2 linked regions of the Canis lupus familiaris genome follow. The protein of the gene in region 1 interacts with the protein of each later gene in a pairwise test. Links are inferred from orthologs where the notes say so. Each region holds a gene or a part of one and is shown on either strand. Other genes may lie near its edges.

What was found.
Region 2: the proteins of TRIM63 (region 1) and TNNI2 interact in a two-hybrid assay, tested with the Homo sapiens proteins (2 studies listed by BioGRID and IntAct). The link is inferred for Canis lupus familiaris from reciprocal best matches to the Homo sapiens genes TRIM63 and TNNI2.

Annotation. Positions count from the first base shown.
Region 1 is NC_049223.1:73,293,016-73,296,918, forward strand, and holds the start of TRIM63 (E3 ubiquitin-protein ligase TRIM63), read left to right. Parts: upstream 1-1,359; 5' UTR 1,360-1,616; coding exon 1,617-1,775; intron 1,776-2,647; coding exon 2,648-2,820; intron 2,821-3,903. UniProt on the Homo sapiens protein: E3 ubiquitin ligase. Mediates the ubiquitination and subsequent proteasomal degradation of CKM, GMEB1 and HIBADH.
Region 2 is NC_049239.1:46,530,387-46,534,289, forward strand, and holds the start of TNNI2 (troponin I, fast skeletal muscle), read left to right. Parts: upstream 1-1,650; 5' UTR 1,651-1,762; intron 1,763-2,206; exon of another isoform or gene 2,207-2,240; intron 2,241-2,362; 5' UTR 2,363-2,384; coding exon 2,385-2,392; intron 2,393-2,567; coding exon 2,568-2,574; intron 2,575-3,087; coding exon 3,088-3,129; intron 3,130-3,223; coding exon 3,224-3,352; intron 3,353-3,474; coding exon 3,475-3,564; intron 3,565-3,667; coding exon 3,668-3,844; intron 3,845-3,903. Other genes in the region: SYT8 (synaptotagmin-8), read left to right, coding at 1-158. UniProt on the Homo sapiens protein: Troponin I is the inhibitory subunit of troponin, the thin filament regulatory complex which confers calcium-sensitivity to striated muscle actomyosin ATPase activity.

The sequences.
Region 1 (3,903 bases):
CCGCCCTTCTTTTGTGAGACCCTGGACATTCCTGTACATTCTATGGTGTCTTAGGCTCATCCTTGAGGCCTGCGGTCACTGCTCCCCCTCTTGCCCCAACACCAATATTGGCTAACCCCTACATCCTTTTGCATGAGATTCTACCTTAAAAATAGCCATCAGAACTACTCTAGTGACTTCTACGTGCCAATACAGAAGGTGTCCAGAAGAACATAGAGAAAAATACAAATTTGTGCAGAGAGTAGAGGGGAACATCTAGATAATCTCTAGATGTCCAGGTAGGGCTTCATGGTACCAAAATGATAGCTATTTCGTTTTCCCCCTCGATAGGCTGTGAGCTTCTTGGGACAGGGAAAAGGATTACTCATTTATCTGTCACCCTGGTGCCTGAAGTATAGTTAGTACTCAGAGAAATGTCTGATGAATGAAAGATTCCTGGCTTTGCCACTGACTTTCTCCTCCTCCTCCTCCTCCTCCTCCTCCTCCTCCTCCTCCTCCTCCTCCTTCTTCTTCTTCTTCTTCTTCTTCTTCTTAAGATTTTATTTATTTATCCATGACAGACAGGGTGGCGGGGGGAGAGGCAGAGGGAGAAGCAGGCTCCATGCAGGGAGCCCGACGTGGGACTCCATCCCAGGTCTCCAGGATCACACTCTGGGCTGAAGGCAGCGCTAAACCACTGGGCCATCAGGGCTGCCCTCTTCTTTTTTTAAAAGTATGGTCCTGCTTTTTTTTTTTTTTTTTTTTTTTTTTAAGATCTTATTTATTTATTAGAGAGAGAGATAGCATGAATGGGGTGAGGGCAGAGGGAGAAGCAGACTCCCTGCCAAGCAGGGAGCCTGACACAGGGCTCAATTCCAGGACCCAGAGATCACGACTCAAGCCCAAGGCAGACACCCAACCGACTGAGCCACCTAGGAGTCCCTGCCACTGACTTTCTAAGTGACTTTGACTAAGATCCTTTCCTTCTCTGGACCTCAGTGTCAAAATCTATAAAACTGTGGAGGGACAGGCTAGCTGGGGTAGGGTTTCAAAGTTTCCAGCAATATGCTATGCTCAGAGATGGGCTCAGAGAGAGGGGCTGCCCTGACCCCTTTTCTTGGGAGCCACTCAGTACTCTAGAGGAAGGGATTTAGGACAGTGAGGGATCACTGGCTATGAACTCTGCAAATCCCAGTGGCCCACTCCTTGGGTCCACTTCCTGGCTTACCAGCCTGGTATAGGAGACTAGGTTCTGGAGGAAACTCTGGTACCCTCTCCTCCCCCCACGCTGCCCACGAACAGGCTGTTCTTGTTTACGACCCTCCTCCCAGGAGAACAGCGATTGCTCATCCCTACATGTGATTTGAGAGGGCCGGTCTTTCAGGCCTGGAGGAAACTCAAACCCAGCCAGCCACTTGGCATCGGAATGTTCAGCTGGTCCCCTTCTGGGGCTCATGTGACCGAGACCCAGCTATAAATATCAGAGGGGCCTCAGACCAAGACAGAATTCGGGCACCAGGAGAACAAGGCAAGGAGGCTCTGTGTGGGTATTTTGTGACGAAGGCAAGACCCCAGGTCTACGTAAAGTGAGGCAGGTAAAGGAGGCAGCCAGGTGAACCTCCACACGTCCTGACAATATGGATTATAAATCAAGCCTAATCCAGGATGGGAACCCCATGGAGAACCTGGAGAAGCAGCTCATCTGTCCTATCTGCCTGGAGATGTTTACCAAGCCGGTGGTCATCTTGCCTTGTCAGCACAACCTCTGCCGGAAGTGTGCCAATGACATTTTCCAGGTCAGTGCTGGGCATGGCCTTGTCCTGGGCTCCAGGCGGCTGCTCAGTATTCCTGTGGTGAAAGCCATTGTCTCTTAGTCTAGGACTTCTAAACTGCTGGCTTTCTCCCGAGCAGAGCAAAGCCCCTGCAGAGGCCTCTGGGCTGAAGGGGGCTCGGAGGTGACCCTGGCCACCCCATTCCTTCTCCATGACGTGTGCTTCCCGTCTCCACCCTGCCCGCAGCTCCCCCACTGCTGCCCGGAGCCCACAGTTGACTCTCCAAACAGGAGTCAAATGCCTCAAGCGATAAGTGGGAGAGGCGGGTGGAGAGGAGAGAGAAACCAGACCCCTGGGGCTGGAGCCAGCTCCCTGGTGGCAGCGGGCCCAGAGCTTTGGGAGGAGGAGGGTGGCCAGGAGGCACTGGGCAGTAGAGGCATCTTCCCCTTCGAGGCCGAGACTGGTTCCCTATAATGTGGGGCTGGAGGGGATCCATCTCAACAAAGGAATAGGAGAAGTGCCCTGGCTGGGAGGCAGGACTCAAGGTTCCAGAAGCACTTTGTACTAATGTTCTCTCCAAATTTTATCTTTGAATTAGCAGCCCTACGAGCAGGCTCTAACGATAATGTCCATTGCGTGAATGAGTAAACAGAGGCTTGGAGGGAGAAAGTGGCTTGCCCAAGGTCATTCAGAGGATAACTGTGACTTGAACCTAGGTCTGCTGCCTCCCAAACTTGCTGACCGCTTAGTTGCTTTCTCAGGTGCTCCCCGTGTACGTGGGCTGGCTCTCATCTCAGGATGGGGAGTTCCATGTCAAATGGCTTGACGAGAATGGTTGGGGTGAGCAAGAAAGACAGAGACTGTCCCAGGCCTCATCTCTGCCCTTCCATCCGCAGGCCGCGAACCCCTTCTGGACCAACCGGGTTGGCTCCGTGTCCATGTCTGGAGGCCGTTTCCGCTGCCCTTCCTGCCGCCACGAGGTGATCATGGATCGTCACGGAGTGTACGGCCTGCAACGGAATCTGCTGGTGGAGAACATCATTGATATCTACAAGCAGGAGTGCTCCAGGTCAGTCCTCCCGGCTCCTGGGAGCCATCCTTCCTCCCCACCTGGTCTGTGCCCAGCTCTCCCAGGCTCCTCCCCATGTGCCCAGGATCAGTGCCCTGGCTGGAGAGCTACACTAGCCAGTCCAGAGAGCCATCTCCCTCTTCTTCAGGCACAACAGAGGCTTATCTCTATCCCCCGACACTGGCTCTTGGGGTCGGTCCCTCAGTGAATGAGAAGAGCCCAGACATTAGGCTGCTCTCCTAGGACAGGCTGAGACAGGAACCAGGGGAGGGACAAACTGTGACATGGAGAGGGAGACACTGGGGCCAGCAAAGTGGCCGGGCAAGCAGAGAAAAGTGCCCAGAGAGAACACAGCCGGTCTCTCTATAGTGGAGGCAATGGCTGTCATCGTGGGTACCGGGGACGCTTCCTCCCGCTGCCCCACAACAATCCTGGGAATTGGGCATGACTTTCATCCTCCCCATTTCATGGATGAGGAAGCTGAGGCTCGAAGAGGTGAAGTCAGTTGCCCAAGTGTTCCCAGCTGAGAAGAGAAATAGCCGAGGACAGCCCTGCCGATCTGGCCCCAAGTCTCCCTGTTTGTAAAACAGCAGCTCTGTCTTGGGCAGAATTTGTGAGAGTGGAGTTTGTGCAGTGTGTGTGTCCAGCTGGAGAGAGATATGGCCACCAGGGAGCTCTTTACAAATTTGACACCTGACAAGACTCCCAGGCCACTGCCCTCAGGCCCTTGGGTCCCAAACCATCATCCAGTGTTGCCCGCCTGGCAGTGTCCTGCCCCAGGATAAGTGACAGACCAATCTTAGTGTGAAAAAGCCCTGACCAGGGGAACCGTCGGCTAGTCTGACTCTGTTACTAATGTATTGTGGGAACTTGGTTGAATCTTTGGGCCTTCATTTTATCCATCAGCAGAGGAGGATGGTAAGGTTTGTTAGTGTGACTATCAAATAGGGTTTTGATGGGAAATGTTAAAAGTATCAGATATGTATGGACACCTCCTGTGTCTAGGCACCTCGTCTTAAGCATTTTCCATGCGTGACCTTTATTTAATTCTCACAGTAATCCATACTACTTTCTTACCCTCAT
Region 2 (3,903 bases), on another chromosome or scaffold:
GCGCCCGGGCCTCCGGGCAGCCCCTGCAGCACTGGGCAGACATGCTGGCCCATGCCCGGCGGCCTGTTGCCCAGTGGCACCACCTGCAGCTCCCTGGGGAGGTGGACCGAGCCCTGGCCCTGAAACCCCGCCTACGCCTGCCCCTGCCCGGCTCCTGAACGCACCCCTGGGCTGAAGTGTGGGTACTGTCCAGGCTGCCCCGGGGGACCACTCCGCTGTAATAAATGCCTGCTCTTGCTGTGGCTGCCTGTGTTTCCGGAGCCCTTAGGGACACGCAGGAGGGTCATCATTGCTGCGGGGGGGAGGACTCTCTCCAGCCTCAGCCACAGATCCTCTGACCCCTTGGTGGAGTGAAGGAGTCCCCTCAAGCCCCACCAACCGGAGGGTGTGAAGAGGTGGTGAGCCCTCTTTGTCAGTGGGGCTGCAGGGTCAGGGACGGCGTGCTGGGTGGCAGGCTGCAGCCGGCCCCGCGGGGACCCAGGGGGAAATCAGGAGGTATCCTGGGGGTGGTGACAGTACAGGGAAAGGACCCCAACCCAAGGGGCCGCTGCAGCCCCCACAGGGCCCCAAACCTTCCAGCGGCTGCCGGCTGCTGTGAGGCCTCCTCTTGCGGACGGCAGGGGGCAGTAGATGTCTTCAGAAGTCACCTCGGGCCTTGGGGGCTCAGCCCTGGCCAGGAATGCAGCTCTAATCCCCACACATCTGGACGGCTTTAGCTCCCCCTGACCCTCCCCACGGCCCGTGAGGCCGGCAGGGCTGGGGCCACGCACCCCCAGCTCAGAGGATGCCAAGTCATGGTTGTCCGGATGTCTCTGCTGGGTGGGGGCCCCGGGCGGGGGGCGCAGGCCCGGGCCAGGGTGAGAAGGGCAGCAGCGCCGGGCCTGCCCGGGCAGCCAGGCAGGCCCCAGGCCCCTCGGGTCAGGGAGAGGTTCCCAGGCGGGTGGTGCCACCATCCCCGGGTTGAAGGACGGGTTCCGAGTGAGCCAGGAACCACCCCAGGGCAGGGTGTTCCGGCCGGTTGCACGTCCAGGCACCCTCCCTCCCGCTCCCAGGAGGACCGGATCTCAGCCGGGGGAGGGCAGCCCCCACTCGGAGGCCCTGGCCACCGCCACGGGCCATGTTTGGGGGGTTCAGGCCTTGCCCCGGAGCTGGGGCCGGCTTGGAGAAAGGACAGGACGTGGCAGGCTCATGCCTGGGGCACCTGGCCTGGCTAAGAGGCAGCAGTGAGCTGCGGGGGCTGCTCCCAGCGCGCGCGCGCGCGCACACACACACACACACACACACACACACACACACACACCCCGCCCCCCCCCCCCCCCCCCCCCCCCCCCCCCCCCCGGGGAAGCAGAGGGAAAACTGAGGAGTGGCCCCGGGCTCAGGACCTGAGTGACCTCTCAGTCGACCTCGAGCTTTTGCCCTGCAGTGGCCCAGCAAGGCCATGTACAGCTGACCCTGGGCTCCTTGCAAGAACAAGGGAGGCTTCTCGAACATGTCACTGAGCTCTAAATAGAGCAGCCCAGCCTCAGCACCCCCCCCCACCAAGACTTCTTGGACGGGACGACAGCACGCGGCTGGGCCGGGCCGGGCGGCCTGGGCAGGTGGGGAGGCCCCTGTGCCCCCATTGGTCTGAGGAGGGCTCCATGCCCTTTCTGAGCAGGGGCCCAGCCTGGGGAGGCCATTTATACCCCTCCCCCTGGGCCCACCAGCCCAACTTGCCGCTGCCGGCCTGACCTCGCTCCCGGCCCTGCTGCCCAGACACTAGGTGAGGCCAGCCCGGCCAGCCCAGGCCGAGGACAGGCACTCCTTGAGCTAGCTCCCAGGACGACCCAGGGTGGGGTCCTGGGGGTTGGGGGCCGCCTCTAGCAGCCCTCTCAGGGGGGGTGGCTTCCATGGAGCCTGGAGCCAGATGGCGATGCATTGGGAGGTGGCTGGGGTGGGGGGTGGCCAGGGGTCGTGGACAGCCTCCAGATCACCAGCCCTCCCTTCTGGGTGGGACACAGGGAGGAGATCTGATGGGTCGAGGGACCCCAGGCCAAAGCGGGGAGCACTTTCTTGCATGCACTTGGGCCCAAAGCCGAAGGAGCAGAGCTAAAAATAGTGGGAAGGCTCTCGTGGCCACCTGTGCTGGCCCGTCCCGCCCCCCCGGGACAGCTGCAACAACCCGGGCCCCGCCTGGGACATTTTAGGAACACTTTCTCCTCTTCTTACCCTGGGAATCCCAAGATGGTGCCTCCAAGGAGGTCAGAGCTGGGGGCAGGGCAACAGGCAGAGGGCTGGGGTCAGGGTGGCCCCCACCTGGATAACCAGCGTCCAGGGCAGGATGGGCCATGGCCCTCACACCCATGCCTTTTCTCTCCCACAGGCTCTAAGCCCAGGACTTCAGGATGGGGGAGTAAGTGCAGCCCAAAGCTGGGGGCCCCCTGCTGTCCCCACCCTCCCCACCAGGCGGGGGTCTCTACAGTTCCCCGGCTGGCTCTGACCACCCTCCACTCCCCCATCATACTGTCCCATCTATGTCCCTAACCTGTCTCTTTTCTCCCCTTAACCCCCCTGCCTCCCCGGGACAGTGAGGAGGTGAGTACCTGCTGGGGGGGGGGGAGGCATGAAACACAGAGGGGATGGGACCTGCCTGACTTGGGATAGGTCATAGGTTAGAGCACAGGGGCAGCTGCCCAGCCCTCCCCCGTGAGAGTGCCCCACCCAGCCACCCAGACTCAATGAAACAGGAAGTGGCTACCCACGTCTCACAGGGCAGGGGATGTGGGGCTGGGGCCTGGTCACCAGAATCGCTTCTTCTTTCTGAGGCTGCCCCCCACCTCCTGGGCCCTGCAGGGATCCCCTGCCCCTCCCCCTGCCCCTGAGGTACCGCCCCTTTTCCTTTTACCTCCCTGAGCCTTTAAGCCTCACCCGCCACCTGGTCACAGGTGTCCTGGGCCCGGTCCCCCAGCAGGGCCTTGGGACCCCCCCACCCCGGTTCAGTTGCATCCAGGCAGGGTCCACAGGCCTGGTGGAGCAAGCGTGGAGGGATGTGGGGGTGCCAGGGACCCCAACTAGCCCTGACTCTGCTTCCTGCCCCCTCCCCTGCAGAAACGCAACAGGGCCATCACGGCCCGGAGACAGCACCTGAAGGTAGGTGCTCCCTGGAGAGGGCCATCCCAGGGTGCCAGTGGGACTGGGCCACCACAGTCCCTCACCGCCTGCCCCCCGCTCCCTGCCCCTCTAGAGTGTCATGCTCCAGATTGCCGCCCAGGAGCTGGAGAAAGAAGAGAGTCGCCGTGAGTCTGAGAAGCAGAACTACCTGTCTGAGCACTGCCCGCCTCTGCACCTGCCCGGCTCCATGTCCGAAGTGCAGGTACCCTCCCCGAGCGGTGCTCTGGCCTGTTGCCTCAGTTTCCCCTTTGGTCAAGAGGGCCGGTAGGGTAGGTGGAGGTCAGGTGGACAGCTGCCCCACCCCACCTGCTGCCCCCACCCCAGGAGCTCTGCAAACAGCTGCACGCCAAGATCGACGCAGCCGAGGAGGAGAAGTATGACATGGAAGTGAGGGTTCAGAAGAGCACCAAGGAGGTAAGCAGGCATGGGGTGGGCGTGGACGGGTGAGGGGCTCCCCGGACCAGCAGGGGGCCCTGCAGCCACTGCCACCCACCCAGCCCTAACCTCTGCCCCGCAGCTGGAGGACATGAACCAGAAGCTGTTCGACCTGAGAGGCAAGTTCAAGAGGCCCCCGTTGAGGAGGGTGCGCATGTCTGCCGACGCGATGCTCAAGGCGCTGCTGGGCTCCAAGCACAAGGTGTGCATGGACCTGAGGGCCAACCTGAAGCAGGTCAAGAAGGAGGACACCGAGAAGGTACGCGGCACCTCCCCAGCCCACTGAGCAGACCCCCACCACGGCTGGGCTCTGGGCCC